2 linked regions of the Coturnix japonica genome follow. The protein of the gene in region 2 purifies or fractionates together with the protein of the main gene of each other region. This does not show direct contact. Links are inferred from orthologs where the notes say so. Each region holds a gene or a part of one and is shown on either strand. Other genes may lie near its edges. The genes, in order: CD151 and ITGA6.

Region 1 (9,113 bases), on a different chromosome or scaffold from region 2:
GCTGTGCCAGCCTGTTCCAGTTTCCCTTGGTACCAGAGACCCGTGGCAGTATGAGAGGTTATGTTGTTAGAGGCGTTCCTCTCCCTGATGCCTTCTTGGTGCTTTTAAAAATCAGTGGGCAACTTTGGCTGCTATTTGTAAAATGCATTTTTGGTGGTTTGTTTGTTGTTGTGTTGAAGTCTCAGGAACCTGTGATTTTGTTTGCTGCTTTTCTGCTTAATTATGAGTTCTAAGGGCTCATTGTCGGTCCCTGGCAGCCATGCTACTTCTTTGTCATTGCCCATTTACCTTCCTTGTGAACCTCCTTAGCCCAGTGATTCATTGAGGCTTGCGCAGGAGACTGTGCGTTTTATCTGCTTTGTGAGCAGAGGAGGCTGTGTCTGCAGCCTGGTCAGTGTGATGCTGCAGAGCAGCCCTGCTGGTGGAGCTCAACCATCAGATGGCAGAGGCAGCGCTGCTCTTAAGACCTGTTCAAACTTCAGCTCAGATGCTGAAGCTGCTGCCCGTGTTCTCCAGGGAGCCATTTCAGTGGTATTTATTAGGCAAAACCAGTGATTAATGGATTAGGCTTGCTCTCTCTTTTCTGTGTGCTGTGCTTTGTCCCTGCCAGAGCAGTCAGTGTGTGATACAAAGCTGCCACTGGGGTGTTCTCTCTATGTCAGGAAGAATCTAGTTAGGATTTATAAACTAGCACAGAACTTCTGCTGTCTCACTTTCAGCTGAATTGCTGAGGAAATTGCCAAGTGTAGCAGAGCACCAGGGTCCAAAAACCTGCGTGGCCGTCCTTACTCAGCTCCTATATTATACTTCAGTTGAGATGCACTCTTTCATATACAAATGTGTGCTAACAGGAGTCTCAGGAAAGAACTTGACCATGTTTTTTATCAAAGGACTTTGCTTCTTTAGATGGTGGAAAGATCTCTCCGGGGAGTGATTTGTGTTGTAGATGGACTGAATCGTTCTTTTGGATTAATAGAAAATGTTCAGATTCAATGCTTCACTCAGATACTTGAAGCTGAATGGAAGAAATTTGGACTCTCTGTGTCTGAAAGACACCCCATGCAATTCTGACACTCACTTGAGCCACAGCAGGAATAAATCTTGCTCAGTGCCCACCTATGTCTCCTACAGGCCTTTGGATGTTCTCACATTTCTTACTGGTTTCCCAGCTCCTTGGAGAGTAGAGCACATCCCTGCTGCTCCATGCCAGAGCTGGCATGCTTCTCATTTCCTTACAAAGGTCTATTCTGAAAGACCAGTAGCTCCTGGTGAAAAGCAAGGAAGGCAGTCCTGTGCTCTGTGTTTGTCTCTGGAGGAAATGCTGCTATTCAACTCTGACAGTATGATGTGGTGTAATAGATAAAGGGGCCCTGAGGGGGAGATGAAGCCAAGATAAGGATAATGATACAGACTATCAGCAGAGACAGGTTGGGTACTTGGGTGGCAGATGCACTGACCATACGAGGGTTAACAGGGACCTCATGACTCATTCTCTAAGCTGGATATGTGTTTGTTCGTATCCACTGTAAGCCAGCGTGCGCTGAGCTTTGGTGACACAACTCAGCTCCACCTGAATGCCACTGAAATGACGACACCAAGCAAGGAAGAATAAATAAAAGAAGCTTTGCAGTTGTTGGGTGTTCCCAGCATCCTGCCACCTTCCTTCCCCTTCTTCTGCAGAGCGATGATGTCAGGGCAGTAGGGCATAACTAGGTCCCAACAAAAGAAAGACAGCCTTTGTATCAGAGTACTCCAATCCTTTCTTGCCCCCTTTCAACCTTTTGTGAGGGCTGGGACCAGCGTTTAGCTATCCCCTTCTCTGCTGAGTGACTCACTGCTGTGGTATGAATGGGTACCTTGTACAAGAGTATGCAGAGACTTTCAGTGTGGGGCTGGGGAGAGAAAGCCTGAGATTGTGTGCTCAGATTAAAGCCTGGCCTGCAGATAATACCCAGCTGGCCATCCTTTGCAGCTGGTGTATCCCAGAAGGGGTGAAAGAAGAAACCTGAGCTGTGTTGTTTAATTCCTGTGAAGTAGCTCAGAAGTACCTGTGTCTACCAGCCAAGAAGGGTTGTGCAGTGCAGAGAGTAACCCTTGTGTAACAGAAAACAATCTTGCTTGTGTCCAGGGCTTCACTATCCTTCTACATGCTGGGTGGAGAGATGGTTTCATGGCTAGCTACATTTTTAGGGAACTGTTCGCCTAATCCCTTGGGAATAGCCATGTTCTGAGCTTGAGTGAGACAGAGTGGAAGATGATGTGTTAGTTCTGTCCTGAGCAGGCCAAGTCTTACAGGGGCTTTGCATAAGGACGTTGTTATAGATTCAACTAGTGCCACTTCGGCTTCGTCTATAAAAAGATGAAGTTAGTAGCAGTTGTAGAACAACTTGGATCTGTAAAGGAACTGCCTTTTTATCTAAAATCTTATCACTTCACTGGTGCACTGCAGATGGTGGTTGAACCGCACAGAAGTACCTGGAAATGTAAATCCGTGTCTTAAATTTATGTTCAATTGATCACCTTTGTCCTTGGTGAAATGGGCTATTTGTTGGTTCATTTAATTGTTGTTATAGCACGCATTTCTCCTTAGTAACTTCGGGAAATGCCCTAAACAATATGAAAGCAAGCAAAAGTTTCAGAATTATTTTTTAATTATGTCAGAAGCAGATATTTTCTGTGATACTAAATGTATTCATCAGGTTATCTGGCAACCACTCTCTTCTGTCTAGTGATCTTATCTCAGCTGCCTGCACTTTTCCATTCTCTATATCCCTCTGGCAGTTTGAGTTAAACTCACACTTGCTTCTGCTTGTCTTCTGTTATCAAGCATGTTCATTTTTGTTTTTGTTGTTTTGTTTTTGGTTTTGGTTTTTTTTTTGACCTGTGGGATTGTTCCCTTTCTATCCTATTGAGGTCCTAATCCCACTATTATCTTTGAGATCTCCTGCAGATAACCATCAGCAGAGACAGTGTCACGTATTTTACTAGCTAGTGGTAAGCCAGCTTCAAGATTCTGTTCTAACATCCTGTTTTTCCCATTATTTTACAGTATTTCATATTGTTGCTGTGCATCTTCCTCCTGGAGATCATTGCTGGAATCCTGGCCTATATCTACTACCAGCAGGTGAGTGGACAGCAGTCCTAGAAACTCAAACCAGGAAGAGAAAACAGCTGACTGTCATCCCATTACTCCGGCCAAAATTGGGCTTGAAGGCTTGGGACCAAGTGTCTGATTAGGTTTCATCCTTCTACATGTCTATACTCACTTTCTACCCCATACAAAAAAACTTAGGTTATTTACTACTTTTGACAAAGCTTTAGTGGTTACACTTGGGAGGCTGTTCAGCCTTGCTGCTCATCTTGTGTTTCATCTTCGCAAGCTGCAGAGTCTTGTAGAAGACAACTGTTAAGGCTGTGTAGAACTTCTAATACCCTTTAAGTCACACTGCAAGCAACTGAAATGACATTAGTGCCACCAAGTATATACAGGACATGAGTGATCCTGTTGCATCTAGCAAGGTAGCTATCACACTCCTGAACTTACAAAGGTGGTCCAGCTGTTAGGTCCTTTCAGGTCATAAAGTTTTGGAGGTCTTTACCTAACCAGCGTAGCTGAGGGGGTAACAGCATTGACTCTCAACAGCTGCAGTTCTAAGTTGGCACTTCTTGCAGTTGCAGAGAACAGAGGCTTAATAAATCATTGCTTTGTTTTCAAAGGATATTTAGCCACCAGAACACAAACAGCCTGGGAAATTGCTCTCAAGTCTGGAAATTGGTTGGAAAGGGTGAATTAGAATTGTTGTCAAGTGTCTGTCTGAAGAGCAGCTGGATATCTCATTCCATCTTGTTGGCTTCACTGTTAGGATTCCTTGCCGTTCCTTTCTATTTTGAGACTTTTGTGCTTTGCATCTCCAGGATGGGCACTGTCAGTTTGTGAGGAGTCAGAGTGTTGTTAATTCATTTGCTTGGTAGGAACTGAGATGGGTCAGTGGAATATATTTAACTGGGAAAGATCAGGCCCAGGAGCATGGCAGAAAGCCTCACTTGGCTCATGTATGACAAAGGATGAAAAGAAGCTGATCCTTAGGTAGAGTAAAGGATGACACATTTGGAGCTGTCCCTTCAAGTGCTTTAAGTCACTCAAAGGCATTCTGATCAGTAGCTGCACTTTCCCCTTGCACTGTGACTGATAAATGCCCCTTCTTTGCTGGTTGCAGGCTGCTTGCTGTTTGCTTATTTCAGCCCTTGCTTTTGGTATCTAAGGCTTGTGTGTCTGAACTCCCTCTCTTTTGTTGTCTTTGTTCCATGCTGCAGTTCTTCCCCATGAGCCTGCAGGTAACTGCTTTTCTCCCAAGTACTAATTCTGTTAATGGATTCTCCTCTTTATTTGCCTCTGATGCCTTCCAGCTACCGAACCTTTTGCTTTCTCTTCATTACATTAAGTCCCTTGCACTTCTGCAGAGCTTCCCAACCCAGGATCTCAAAGCATTTTTCAAATATTTATGAATGAAGCCTCTTATCAACTCTATGAGGTAGGTATTGTCACCACTTGACACACAGGATTGGGAAAAACAGTATATCAAAAGGAAAATAAACTGCAGATTGTATTTTGCCCAGTGCAGTGTAACGAGATGTTTGACCCCTCACTTACTGCTTACTGTACAGAATAAAAGGCGTTTAGAGAAGCTGTCTCTACAGCTATCTCTACTGATGTGTAAGAGGAACTTAGCTAGATTAAGAAGAGCTTCCATAGAAAGAAATATTTGAGTGCAGTCACCTGAACCTACCAGTGGTTGGTGATAGGAACATTTTCAGAAATGATGAACTTCCAGAATCAGACGTCATCTCTGTGGTTTTACAAATCTGTCACTGTTATCAAGAAATGCCATGGAGCAATCTTGCAATTACGCTCTTCATCCCCTCCTCTGGCATCCCTTTTGCTGTCATTTTAAGAGCTATTCAGACTACGTGACCTCAGTCCAGTGTGCCCAGGACTCTGATTTCTTCCTGCTCCTGGACAGACTGATTGTGTTTTTTCAGGGACAGAAGACTGCATATGCTCTCATGGCATATTCATATTCAAGCAGGCACAGTTAGGTATTGTGTTTTAGATGCAAACATGTCTTGGCAATCTCTTACATGTGTGAGGTGAGGACCCACGTGGTGATATGTTGCACAGACTGAAATTTGGCCCAGAATCACTTCATTCCAGTTAATAAAGTGGAAACGTGGTCTTTAATCAGCTGGAAATAAGCTTACCTGCTTCCTGGAAGTCATTCCAGCCTTGGAAGATGACTTAAGGAAGCTGTAGCTTTCACTTTTTGGCTTTCTTTTCTCTTGGAGCAGTAGCAGTGAAACTTATGCAGGACGCTGGGTTGCCCTGAGGGGAGGTGAATTTACCTCATGATTTTATCCCACTTGTCTCTTCTTTTCAGCTGAGCACGGAGCTGAAGGAAAATCTGAAGAACACCATGACTCAGAAATACCGCAAAGAGGGAGAAGAGAGAGTGACCAGTGCAGTGGACAAACTGCAGCAGGAGGTGGGTGTTGCTGGAGATGCTATTGTACAATACTAGACATGATGTGAGCTCTTGTCACCTGACATACAGATTGTTTCTCCTGAGTCAGAGCAGGTTGGGTGGTGTGCAGGGTCTTGGCTGTGCTACCAGCGGAATGGCATGGGATAATCTCTGAATTGGATCCCCAATAGAATTGAGCAATCAACATCTAAATTGCTCCTGGAGTGAACTGAAGTGCCGAGTCACTCTGACAGCTGTTTCTACTTACCACATGAAAGCTTTGGAGAAATTGCTGACATTTTTCATTAAGCTTCTCAGTACCCTAGAGAACAAGATGTAATGAAAGATCCTGCTGCTGCTGCGAGCTGTGTCATGCTCTGGGGTGGTTCAGGTATGGGCTGTCATAGTTCTGACAGGCTTTTCCACAGACTGGACCTTTGTGCAAGGCATAGGTCCAGCAGTTTCAAAGCGTGCAGCCTGCTATGCATGTAATGCCCTGTTGCCAGGTGCATATGCGATAGTAACTGGTAATTATACCTACCCTGTTAGTGCTCTCTGGTCAGGTGATTTAAGAGCTGAGGCAGCTGCAGGTGCTCTCTAGCTACAGTTCATCTCAACAGTAACAGAAGTCAACTGCTGAAAGATGGATGAAGCTGATAATTAATTGCCAGCATTGAAACAAAGCTCACTAATAATTACAGGGGTCCAAAAATCTAGGCTAGTGACATTGCTGGAGTCTCTCAACAAAGAGCAAAGCTCAGAGCTTGATACAGGGAGGCTTGAGTGAGAAGGAAACTGCAGTGCTTGCAGGCTCAGCTTTGTTTATATGTGTTTGCAGTTCAAATGCTGTGGGAGCAACAACTACACAGACTGGGCTGACAGTATCTGGATCAGATCTCCAGAGGCCAGTGGACGGAAAGTTCCTGACAGCTGCTGTAAGACAATAACTGACCTGTGTGGCCGAAGGGACCATCCTTCCAACATCTACAAGGAGGTAAAGAACAAAAGGGCTTCAGAGCCTCTTGTCACAAATTTTATCGAGGAGGTGGGTGGGAAGTGAGGATTTTGGGTTGGCACTTTGTGTCTCTAGTTGAGTGTTGAGCCTTCCAGGCTACATTTAAGAAGATTCAGGGAAGAGGGAAAAAAAAAAAGAGGAGTCAGAGTGTCTGGGCTGCTATTACAGAAGCATGTATTTGTGGCTACCAGAGTGATACTATAGCCAGTACCCAGTGAGTACGGTATGGGATTAATCCTCTACACTGGAGTGGCTGTGGATTAGGCAAGGAGTGTATTTCAAATCTGCCTCAGGACTGTTCTTGGCATTTGCAGGGAACCTGATATGTAGAAAAGGATTGTAAAGGCAATAAAGAAGAGAGTTCAGGAGCTGGGGAAAAAAGCAGAGATATGTTCTGCACCATTTTATTTCCTATAGAGAAAAATACTAAGTTATATTTGTTATTGCAGAATATGATGGTGATGAGGGAGCGGGAGAGGTTGCTTCTGGCAGGAGTTTTGGGTTTGAGCTCTGCGTTCTCAGCTTCCTGTTATTAAACTTAGTGAGGAGCAAAGAGATACAGTCAAGGATCAGCATTGACAGATTTGACCTCCAGCATGAGGAAACAGGATATGGGGCTCCCCAGCAGAAAAATTAGGCCAATTCCAGAGAACTGCAGTTAGGGGTGAAAAGAATTTGGAGCTGAGCTGCTTATCTCACCTCCAGAAGAAGCAAATTGAATCCCAGAGCAGCTGAGGAAATAGGCAGGTAGCTCTCACTTATTCATCTTGTTGATTAAAACTGGTATAATTTCTTGTGTTTTTGTTTTCATACCCTTCAGTCCTATGGCTTGGCTCACCATAAATCTCTCTGTGAGTTAGCATAGACTGTTTTCTCACCAGTGCAGCTTTTGCCTCAGCTGACTGTACTAAGGCATGGGAGCAGCAGCCGGAGCCTTTTCCTTGTCTCTGCCCCACTAGGTGCAGAGATGAAGTTCAGTCTTCCTGCTCTACTAAAGCCACCCTTTATTAAGTCCAGCTGCTTGGCTGGGTTTTGGTCTCCTGAAGGAAGACTTTCCCATAAGGTCTGTTATCTTCCAAGGGCTGTTGAGGTGTCTCTGAGTGTAGAAACCTACAAGTGTGTGAGGGCAGAGCTGGCTTGCCCCAGCCTCACTCTGTGCTGTGTGAAACTGCCCAGCTGGTTACTGAGGAAGGTCCTATGGGCTGCCAAGTGCACAGCATTAGCTCTGGAGTATAAAAAGCTGCCAAACGCCATGTGGATCTACATATAGACACTACTTCTCATGATACAACATCTAAGTTAGAGTTCAAAACAGACTTCAGTTGCACTGGGGAAGAAGAACCTAGAAGAGGTTGGATCAGGACACGGGAGCAATTGTTTCACACTGGGGCAGCTGGAGCTGACTCTCAAACCTAATTCAGGCGTGGGAAAAGTGCGGCCTTTGCCATCCCTCCCTGGAGAGGTGCATGCTCACTCATTCCCTCTGCCTGGGTAAATGTAGGTGTCTGTGCTCACTGTAGACCCCTGGGGCTGTAGTGCCCTGGCACCCATGGGGCACTGTTGCAACACAACAAATCCCCCTGATGTTACCATGGAAAACCTGCCTCACTAGTTGAGACAGTTAAACTATTTAAAGAGAACTCTTCCAAAATAATCAGAGAATTCTCTTACTGTTTTATTTTTGCATTATGGCAACAAAAACATGGGCCTGAAACTAGGATGTTATGCTGCCAGCCAAGGATGCAAGTGAAAAGCAGAGATAGTCAGTGCCTGTTTTTCCAGGTTCACATTAAAACCCCATAAATAACAGTGGGAGGAATTTCCTTTCAAAGGGTTCCTCTCATGTTAGAGGTCTTAATGCAGCATTTCCTTGGCATTTTGGCCTGGCAAGAGCAAAGCCCCACTTCAGGCATGTGCTAAGCAATGAGGGAGCCCTCCTCCACATACCTCAGAGGAAAATCTGAGAGAAATCCTTCTCTGTAATGTGCCAAGTTCTTCTGTACTTCTTCAGCCACCTTAAGTTTGTTCAGCAATTCCTGAGACATACAGAAACAGAATGGACTTTATATAATCTATATAGCTTTTCCAGCAGTGTTGCAAGGAGAGGATGCTCACAGCCACTGCTTTTTATAGGGATGCCTTCAAGGGTTACAACTGCTGTCTTAAAGTGAGACACGAGAAGTTAAAATGAAGATGACTTTCCTTGTCTCCTCTCTCTCCCCTTGCAGAATGGTTGCATTACCAAGCTGGAAAACTTCATTCAAGAACATCTGAAAATTATTGGCATAGTTGGGATCAGCATTGCCTGTGTGCAGGTATTGTGTGGAACTGTGTGGAGTCTTGGGCTTTCTGGGTAGAATCTTAAGAAACTCAAGAGCTAAGGGATGGAAAAATTGGTATTTCATGCTTTTCCTTGCCTGGCAAAAAAAAAAGTTGTCAGGTGAGGGAAAGGTACTTCAGTGACCTTGGGGTCCACTAACTCCAGAGCTAGTGCCTCTTCTGTCAGTTTGTAACATTTCATTTCTGGTGAAAGAAAGGCACTTTTCTGCTCAGACAGGTTTCTGCAGCGGGGATGTGAG
Region 2 (8,858 bases):
TTTCCAACCTTGATAATTCTGTGAATCTGTGATTCTTGGCTTCCATTACTGCTGTTCTTAAAACCGGCTTATAATGATGTCAGCTGTGAGCTAGTAGCAGTTTAAAGCAGTACCCACAGGCAGTAAGTTGGGTGTTTGTAATTTGTTGCAGCTGCTTAAAATGGTTCTGGGCTGGTTTCATCTTTTCCACCTGCATGCTGTTGCCCTGGTGCCCGTGTGTCAGCTTTTTCTTGCTTTGTACCTCAAACACATAACAGAAAGATTGTATTAAGGGAAAACAAACAAACAAACGTACCATGACCTTTAAACCCCTCTTCCTTAAATAACTCCTGTTTCAAAACTGTCTGCACGTATTCCATATCATGACACACAGTTTGGAGGAGCCATCACCTCCCTCCACGGGCAGGGCTGAGGGGATATGGCAATATTCACAGTGTGACTGTTGGTGTCTGCAACGTTTAGCCTGCCTTTCTGATGTACCAGTGAGCCTTGCTGTGGCTCTCTCGTTTAATTATGATAAGAAACCACTATTATCAGAGCAATGTTTAGTTTTAAAAAATTTATTTCACACTTCTATACAAATATCCACAGGTAATTTCTAATGATGGAATGATTGTTAGCTGGTATTAAAAACAAGTCTGAAATAGAAGTATGCCAGTGACGTGACTTATTGAGAATAATTTTCACTTTAACACTGCAGAGACATTCATGGTCTTAGGGGAGGGCCACAATCTGCTTTAAAAACAGAGGCTGGGAGTAGTTGGTTGCCAAGCATCTTAGCACCTCGTTAGCGTGGCCTCTTATACCGCACAGCCAATCAGTGAAAAAGCTATTTTTAAAAAAGCTCGAAAACTGAGTAACAGCAAAATGCATTTGTCACGGTTCACAAAATCAGGGTCATGTACTGAGATGATTTAATGGGAGGAAGAAGAGCCTACTAAATTACTGCCCTTTCTATAAGGATAGCATTTTAGGTGAGCGTAGCTTCTAAAAAGGTCTTAAAAGTTAGTAGCAGAAATCAGACACCTGACAAGTGCCCTCTTAGCAGGTTTTTACCCTCTGAGAGGAAGAAGTACCAAGAGGTTTTTGCATAGTTTAAACTGCAAACAACTGCACGCTTCTTGAGCAGAATTCTGTCCTATATGGAATAAACTGCAAACTGATCTTCGTTCTTAAGGAGTACCAGTGCTTTAGAATAAGGGTAAAGAAAAAAAAAAAAAAGTAATCTCTATATAGTTTTATCAATGCTTAGATTGCTGATAAGCACAGCATCGTGACTGCTCTCTTAACAATGTTCAGGTATTCAAGAGGGTTCAGTAGTCTCAAAGTGGATCAGCTCAGATCCTCATAGTTAAGTTAGGCATATACAGCCTCGTCAAGTGCTTCATACAGTTGTAGTAGTCAACACCGTTTGCCAGACAGGAAGTCCTTATGAAGCTGGAAAGCTGCTTCCAGAAAACCTCTCACTACCAGTGAAGTATAAAACTGCATCTTAAAAACCCTACCTATACTTGGTGTCTGAACTGTTTAATAGTCTCAAGTAATGTACAAAGTCATACTATAAGACCTGGTAGTTCCTATTAGATCAAGTTACAAATATCATGAAAAAAAAAAAAAAAGACTCCATGTACATCACTGGAATAAATATTTACATTTTTAGAAAGCGTTGGCACCTTCAGTGATTTATTAAACTGCAATGAAAGCCTCAGGTCTCATTTTCTGAAGTTCCTAAGCACAGTGGTTTCAAGGTTCAGGAAAGTCTTTGGCCTAACAGTCAAAGACATCGATAACAAAAATAAATACAAAAATGACTAAAATATATATATATACAAAAAGTACATCTAATATTCAAGCCTCTTTTAAAAAAACTAAGAAAAAAACAACCTGTGTATATTTGTTGTGAGCAACATTTACATAATCTGATTTTAAAAATTGAGCAACGCGACCTATTGTGCATACAACTGAAGGTGATGCTTTTTGTAAGCCCTAGCTACTGCAGCAGCAAAGCTTATGGCTAAAATAGATTTGCAGGTCTTCAGATGATACTTAACTACATATGTTAAGGCCAGTGTGTTTGTAAGGGATCAAACATCAAGGGAAGGCTGGAGAACCTGCACTGATCTCAATCACGCAATTCCCAGGAACATGAGGAGCACAGGAGAAGGCCTGCCAGATTGGGTCTGCATGTTCTGCAGCAAAGAGCCCAAATCAACACGGTGTCTTCTAAAGCCTGAGCTAGATTTGAAGGGGGGAAAAAGAGGCAGAGTGGAAATTACATAGTGCCAAAAAGGACTGACGAAGCAATTTTAACTGTGCAAACAAAAGCTGCAATGTAAGTAGTATTATCTACAAACAAACAGTGAAGATGTCCATAGTGTTCATAGGTCTAACTCCACGAGTTCACCATTAACAAAAGCATTACGCTGTATCTGAACTTTGAGGAGGGAAACAACTTCTTCCTAAGAATAACTTTCATTCTCATTCCATTTTGTGAACCACTGTTTTGTCTCAAGATCTTTGCATTTCCCGCCTTTGATCTCTCGTTCTTCTTTTCGAATTCTTACAGCATGATAGCGGGGGACGCTGTCATCGTACCTGGAGCGCTGGAAGAACCCACACTGGGGACGAGGAGAAAAAGAAGAGTTTAGATTGAAGTTGCTGTGGAAGTACTACAATCACAGAGGCGATGTATTCTTCATACAGGTAAGAGAACTGAATACAAAAAGATTACAGAATAGATTATAGACAGATTATAAAACACACCATATAAGTCTTCCTCTAAAATTGTTCTGTTGTGTATTGAGAAATCTCCATGCTAAAGAGAGATGTGCATACAGTTCAGGAACGTTTACTTCTCCTGAATGAAAGGCAGGTATGTACTTCATTACTCTATGTTGATGTAATTTACCATTAAACTTACAGAAAGACTTCCAGGTCTAAGGAAAGCTTACACTAGGGCTGTCTTTTCAAAGCGCCATCAGTACTACACTGCCTTAACTAACCACACATTTACAGTCCTAGAGCACAGATATTGCTTAATTTGCCAAAGTGAAAAACAGCTATAAATTGAAATTCTGTAGCATTCTGCAATGAACAACTCCCATTATGAAATACAGTAAACTTTGTGCCCCAAAAGCTTTCTTTTTAATCAAAACCACTATTAAACTTGATTATTTTTTTAAAACTACTTAAGAAGACTGAAATGAATGTTCCAAATAAAGTGAGTTTTGGCCACAATGGTACTGTGATGATGACTGGCAAACATTTGACATGTTGATGGGTTTCTGAAGTCAAGATTAAGAGTACAAGACACTGTGACAAACTGTGATTACGTACTGATAGCAAAAAAATAAAAGAGGTACGGTTTCATTTGTGACTTGTTTTAAAAAAATGTTTAAAAATAAAACTTCAATAGATCTGCACTTTAAGAGGGGAAAAATTCATTACGCATAGTTTTGACAGATTTTAGGTAAGAGTTCCTTCCCAACCCCTCATCTCAAAGCATCTCTAATTAATCTGTACGCGCATGTATTGCCTTAAGAAACATAAGTTATCATGCATCCTGGTAGCTGCAGCAGAGAAGTTACTTCTAGAATAGAAAAGTATTTTTGAAACTGAAGGAAAAAAGGTGTTTTCACAGCAATTACCTTTTATTTATGAATGCTCTTCTCATTATTAGCAATTTTATTTTTAAGCATGCAGTAAAAGGTTAATAAAGCAAGTTTATCTTCTAGGTAGTCTTAACTGTAAGTATTAACTCTGCATTGTCAATTACCATCTCTAAAGCTTTAAAAAAAAAAAAAAAAAAAACAAAAAAAAACCCTTATGTTAAATCATCAGTTAAAAAACCACTGCAACAGATCAATATGTTTTCTAGAGAACTAGAAGCTTCTTAGACCAAGGTAACCACCTGTGTTTATATATGCTAAAATCTGAAAATTTATTAAGAGAGTAAGCAAGCAAGTACTGACAGTCTGAAATCCAAAAGTTAATAGAACATATGCAGCAAAAGCTTCATCGTTAGCCACCATACCCACAGCATGTGCCACCACAGCTAAAAATTAAAAAATATCATCAATTACCAATTACAGAAGTAGATCAATACTACGCATCAGAAGTAAGCCTCTCTTTATCAGATGGCTGAGCATGGATCTCAGCCTTGTGATATGTGGCATCGTAATGATCTTTCTTACTTCTTTTGAAGAAACCACACTACAAGGAAGCAAGGTATTTAGTCAATTTCAGTGGACCAGAAGAGTTAAACCTATCAGAACCGACTAGAACAACCTTTCCATAATTTCTTCACAGCCTGGTTGCCTGAAATTTTAGACAGTTTTCACAGGAAAAGTCAGCTGCTGTTATTAGATTTGAGAACTAACATACTCTGTACAGGAGCAAAATAACCTGTGCAGTGTAAGGAATGCTGTTTTAGAGGCTTTGTGATAAAATTTTAATGCATTGTTTTTTGAAGAAAAGCTACTTATACAGCACATCTATAGCAACTAAAGCTGTCTGTGAAGAGCAGCAAGATCACAAACCAATTTATGCACAGGATAAATGCTTAGTCCTGTTCAACAGGAGCATGTATCTCATCCCCAGCCACGTAATTGCCTACAATGTACAGCGTTTGTCCTTCATAAGATGATTTTCTGTCATCAAAAGGAGTTCAAAATGTGTATGAGAGCATCTTTATGTGCAGTAGTAGACTAATAGTTGTAACCTAACAGTCCATCCAACAATATTAATGGTAATTTCTTAGAAGACTTGCAACAGAGACTATCCATTTCTTTGAGGAGGAAATAAAAAGCATACTATGAAAAATCATCCATAGCAAGCAGTGATTCCAACAATGCCACCTGCTTCAGTTTCTCCAAAGGCAAGTGACAGGATATTCCTCTTCACCCACTCTTTCTAAATGAGTGTCTTCTCTCCCCCACTGACTTATTACTTACTGGCTTTGGCAGTTAGTATAAGAAAAGAACTACCCTATTCTACTTGGAACCACCTTTAGTTGTAGAAATGCCAAAGGCAGTTTAAAAAGTACTTGTTTTTTGTTTGTTTGTTTGTTTTGCAAATTCTTAACTTTTCCTTTTAAATACAAATTTGCTTCTTCAAGGTCTCTAAGATAAGGAGCCCATACAAAAGAAATTGGACACACAGGTAATGTGCTATTTTTGTATCTCTTGTTGTTTTATTTTTTCCCATCTACCCTTGAGTTTAATAGCATTAGGAATAGCACGAGAACAAAAACTTAATTGTTTGCTATCTTACTACTTGAATGCCAGGAAATATAAAATAATCAAGTAAGTAAAAACTTACCTTCCATAACAAGAATACCAGGAGCGCAAGCATCAGTACTCCAGCAAAAATAGCCACTGCAATGATCCACCAAGGCACCCCTGTATAAAGGGCTACTGGCTTTGCAGGAAAGACTGTAACACGCACCTAGAGGAAAGAAAACATGTAAAGATTGAAAAAGCACTTCAAAAGCATCCATCTTTAACATAAAACTGTAATTTATAGTCTTTTTTTTTTCCTACAACGTCTTCTCTCACTACAACATGTTTTTGAAGAAAAGGTTTCTATGGGTATCATTTTGACATAGCAGCAAGTTTTGCCAACCAAATTAAAAAGGATCACTAATTCAAAATTTGATTCCAAAGATCCAATATACCAGCTCCTTTTGCTTTCAAATGGTTTATCTTTTCTAGTCTTTGAGATAAGCTGGAAACATAACATGATCTGTGGCAGGCATTAAATGCTGAACCTACCTGAGCAGCTTCATTGGTGAGTTTGACGTTCTTAGCTGCAGCAGGAACACTGATTGAGGCCCTAACAAGAATGTCCAGGTAGTTCATTTTGGAGTATTCCTGTTCCAAAATAAAATACAGTTATTAGACATATGACAGGAAAGAACTCTAAACTTCCAGAAATGCCAGGAGAACTTACTTCCAAGAAAGTACTGTTCCACAGTCTGGAACGCAGCAAAATCGATGCCTTGCTGTCAAAACCCCTCAGTGGACATTTTATGTCCACACACCGTGCATTCACCTTGCAGTCCTGCAGTTAGAAATTTTTACATGTAAGAGCATCTTCACAATTTTCTAAACATCGTATTTAGGCACAAGAACCAAAATCTGTTTGTACCAACAACAATGGGAAAATATGATAAAAATGCAATTCGTGTTTATTTCAGCATAGATAACTATACAGAAATTCCCAATTTCCTCACCTCAGAAAGTAAATATGAATTAACAAATTCTAAAAGCATCAGTGCTTGGATTTAAGATAGAAACAAATCAAAGCCCTATCATCTTTCATGCTGCCAAACTCAAAAAAGCCCTGTTAGGAGTGGAGAAGGAAGTGCCCACCAAGACTAGCTGATGCAGTATGCTTACCAATGTCATGTATTTTCTTTCTGAAAATAATGAAAATGTCTTGCTGTCTGTAATCTGCTTCTCTGCAATCTCACGCTTTCTTCTTGAGTTATGGGATTCCTTCAAAATAAAATGTTTCTGTCACAACTCTGTCTTAATGATGTTGTTAAATATCCCCTTTTTTCTACATTCATTGCTAATAATAGAATCATGAAAATTTGAGATCAACCACTAAAAAGCCAACTGCCTGCTTGCTTTTGACATGTCAATGAGTTTTAAGATGTAAAGAGCTTTTTATGCTGTTTCTGTTTTTGTTCTGTGTATACAGCATTAATATTACTACGTTAATAGGTGTACAGGTGATATGGTCAGTACATACTGGTTTGGGTTTTTTGAAATATAAACTGATTACTCACAGAAAGTTTAGCAATGATCAACAGATAAGTACAGATTGAAGTACATGCAGTTTTAATAACTAGGATTGCAACTTCTCCCAAATGACCTTGAGATTATATGAAAAACAGTGAAAATGAAGGCTCAGGGGGGTTAGAAAAGCTTGCTGGGTTGGCATAATGAAGGACTGTGAAAATCCTGTTTGATAAATTCCTTCTGGAGGTAGGCTCTTACACTCTGTAATCACATGCTGTAGTGTTTTAATGGTGAACCTATTAGTGAACAAAAGAAGATAGAATAACATACCGCAACATGCAAGAAATTGATTTCATTCTGTGGTTGACAGGAAACCTTTTCCAAGCCCTTGGAGTCTATTTTCATCAAATATAGCAGCCATTTGCCATTACTGATTTCTTTTGGCCACTGGATGTCCAGGGAAGCTGTACCAAATGCTTTCAGGGGCCTGCCCAAGTTGGTTACCTATGAAAATAAATCTTCTTTAAGTTGTGCAATCTGTTCCAAATGGATTTATCACCATTACTGACTTGGAGTCATGTAGACAACAGGAAATTAGAAAGCCACTAAAAGACAGTGTAAACAGCTTAAAGACAAAATGTATATGAAAACTAGCACATCTGGAAGGTAACTAAATGTCAAGGTATGAATTTTTAGTCTTACGAACATTAAGCTGCTGCTGTTTAAAAGTCTGTCTTTATAAGAAACACCCACTGTTTAGAGTTAACAAATCATTTGTCTACGTAACTGGAGCAAACTCCAAGCTTACAACAAACTTTTGACACAGAAAGATAACCAGGATCCTGCTCCCACAGCTTGGGAAAACCTATTTCTAAATCCAGAAACATTTTTGAGAATTTACACATGCAAAAGGAGAAACTGTTCTAAATTACTCACTCTGAATTCATACTCTATGAGGTTTCCAATATTATCTTCAGATTTCATAGCACTCTCACCAACGATGTCACCTCCAAAATACACCTGGGAAGGCTTAGCCACTCTGTTCAGGTAAGGTGGAGAGAGGAAATGAATCAGGTTGTAACGAAGTCTGCAGCAAAGGTGATCTCCCCCCAGCCTGCACCCCTATTTGTTCTGCTATTAACACTTACCCTGTGAGCGATAAAAGCAATTCAAGAACCACTTTAGCACTGGCTGTAATTGCAGTTGAATTTACTTGAGTGCTTGTTCTACAATGGAAAGGAAACAATGCTGCTGATTTTACAAGTTTAGAAGTTTTTTTACTTTACTATTAAATTGCTTTTATGAATCAAACCACTCATTCAAAATGTTTATGGCCATCTGTCTAAACAAAATGCGCACAGACACACACATACACAAAGAAAACTTACGTCTCCAGCTTGAGGTTAATGTCCAAGTCTGTTGTATCAACATTAACTTTAGTGGTACTTAAGATCAGATAAAAGGTTACCTAGATAAGAAAGAACATCCAGGAAACGTGAACATTTAGAAAAGATATTAATATATGCAGTATTACAGTAACACACCATCAAATTCTAAAGCTAAAAAGACAGATCTAGGCCAAATTTCTGGTTATAACTCAGAAACTTTACAAGACTGCAGTCAGGAATCAGGTTGTCTAGCTTGAGTAAAGTAACTGCAACTCACATTGGAGTTTCTCTTGAATGGATTTCCAAGTTCACACTCTGCTTGAGAGCCATTCTGGTTAGCACCGCATGTGAGCTGTTTTTCCTGAATAAACATAACATATTTATTATTTGATTTATGCTAAAAACACTTTAAAAAAAATTGAATACCCTTTCTCTTATAAACACTTACAGGATATCCTCTCATCTCCCTGAATGCAGAATAAGTCAGACTATCTGGAAAAGTTGCAATTAGTTTAGCTTCATATGCATCTTCTCCATCTTTCTTTGGATTTCTTGCATCAGATGGATTATTTGTCACTGTTATTTCCAGGGCAATATCTTTCTGATCTTTTAAAACGAGCACTGGAATGCCATTTTCACTGCAGAAACAGAACATACAGAGCTGTGCATCAAGGAAACAAATGTGTTTCAAAGTTTGTTTCTTACTATGGTTTACCCAAACGTC

Evidence for each region.
Region 1: the proteins of ITGA6 (region 2) and CD151 purify together in Homo sapiens (co-immunoprecipitation; 3 studies listed by BioGRID and IntAct, with this or other methods). This does not show direct contact. The link is inferred for Coturnix japonica from reciprocal best matches to the Homo sapiens genes ITGA6 and CD151.

What each region holds. Positions count from the first base shown.
Region 1 is NC_029520.1:8,930,017-8,939,129, forward strand, and holds part of CD151 (CD151 antigen), read left to right. Parts: intron 1-3,049; coding exon 3,050-3,124; intron 3,125-5,435; coding exon 5,436-5,540; intron 5,541-6,357; coding exon 6,358-6,513; intron 6,514-8,762; coding exon 8,763-8,849; intron 8,850-9,113. UniProt on the Homo sapiens protein: Structural component of specialized membrane microdomains known as tetraspanin-enriched microdomains (TERMs), which act as platforms for receptor clustering and signaling.
Region 2 is NC_029522.1:15,820,637-15,829,494, forward strand, and holds the end of ITGA6 (integrin alpha-6), read right to left. Parts: intron 8,773-8,858; coding exon 8,583-8,772; intron 8,496-8,582; coding exon 8,412-8,495; intron 8,215-8,411; coding exon 8,135-8,214; intron 7,973-8,134; coding exon 7,895-7,972; intron 7,786-7,894; coding exon 7,683-7,785; intron 7,251-7,682; coding exon 7,077-7,250; intron 6,498-7,076; coding exon 6,399-6,497; intron 6,061-6,398; coding exon 5,950-6,060; intron 5,871-5,949; coding exon 5,772-5,870; intron 5,446-5,771; coding exon 5,320-5,445; intron 5,161-5,319; exon of another isoform or gene 5,117-5,160; intron 4,213-5,116; coding exon of another isoform or gene 4,105-4,212; exon of another isoform or gene 4,083-4,104; intron 2,704-4,082; exon of another isoform or gene 2,619-2,703; coding exon 2,460-2,618; 3' UTR 545-2,459; downstream 1-544. UniProt on the Homo sapiens protein: Integrin alpha-6/beta-1 (ITGA6:ITGB1) is a receptor for laminin on platelets. Integrin alpha-6/beta-1 (ITGA6:ITGB1) is present in oocytes and is involved in sperm-egg fusion.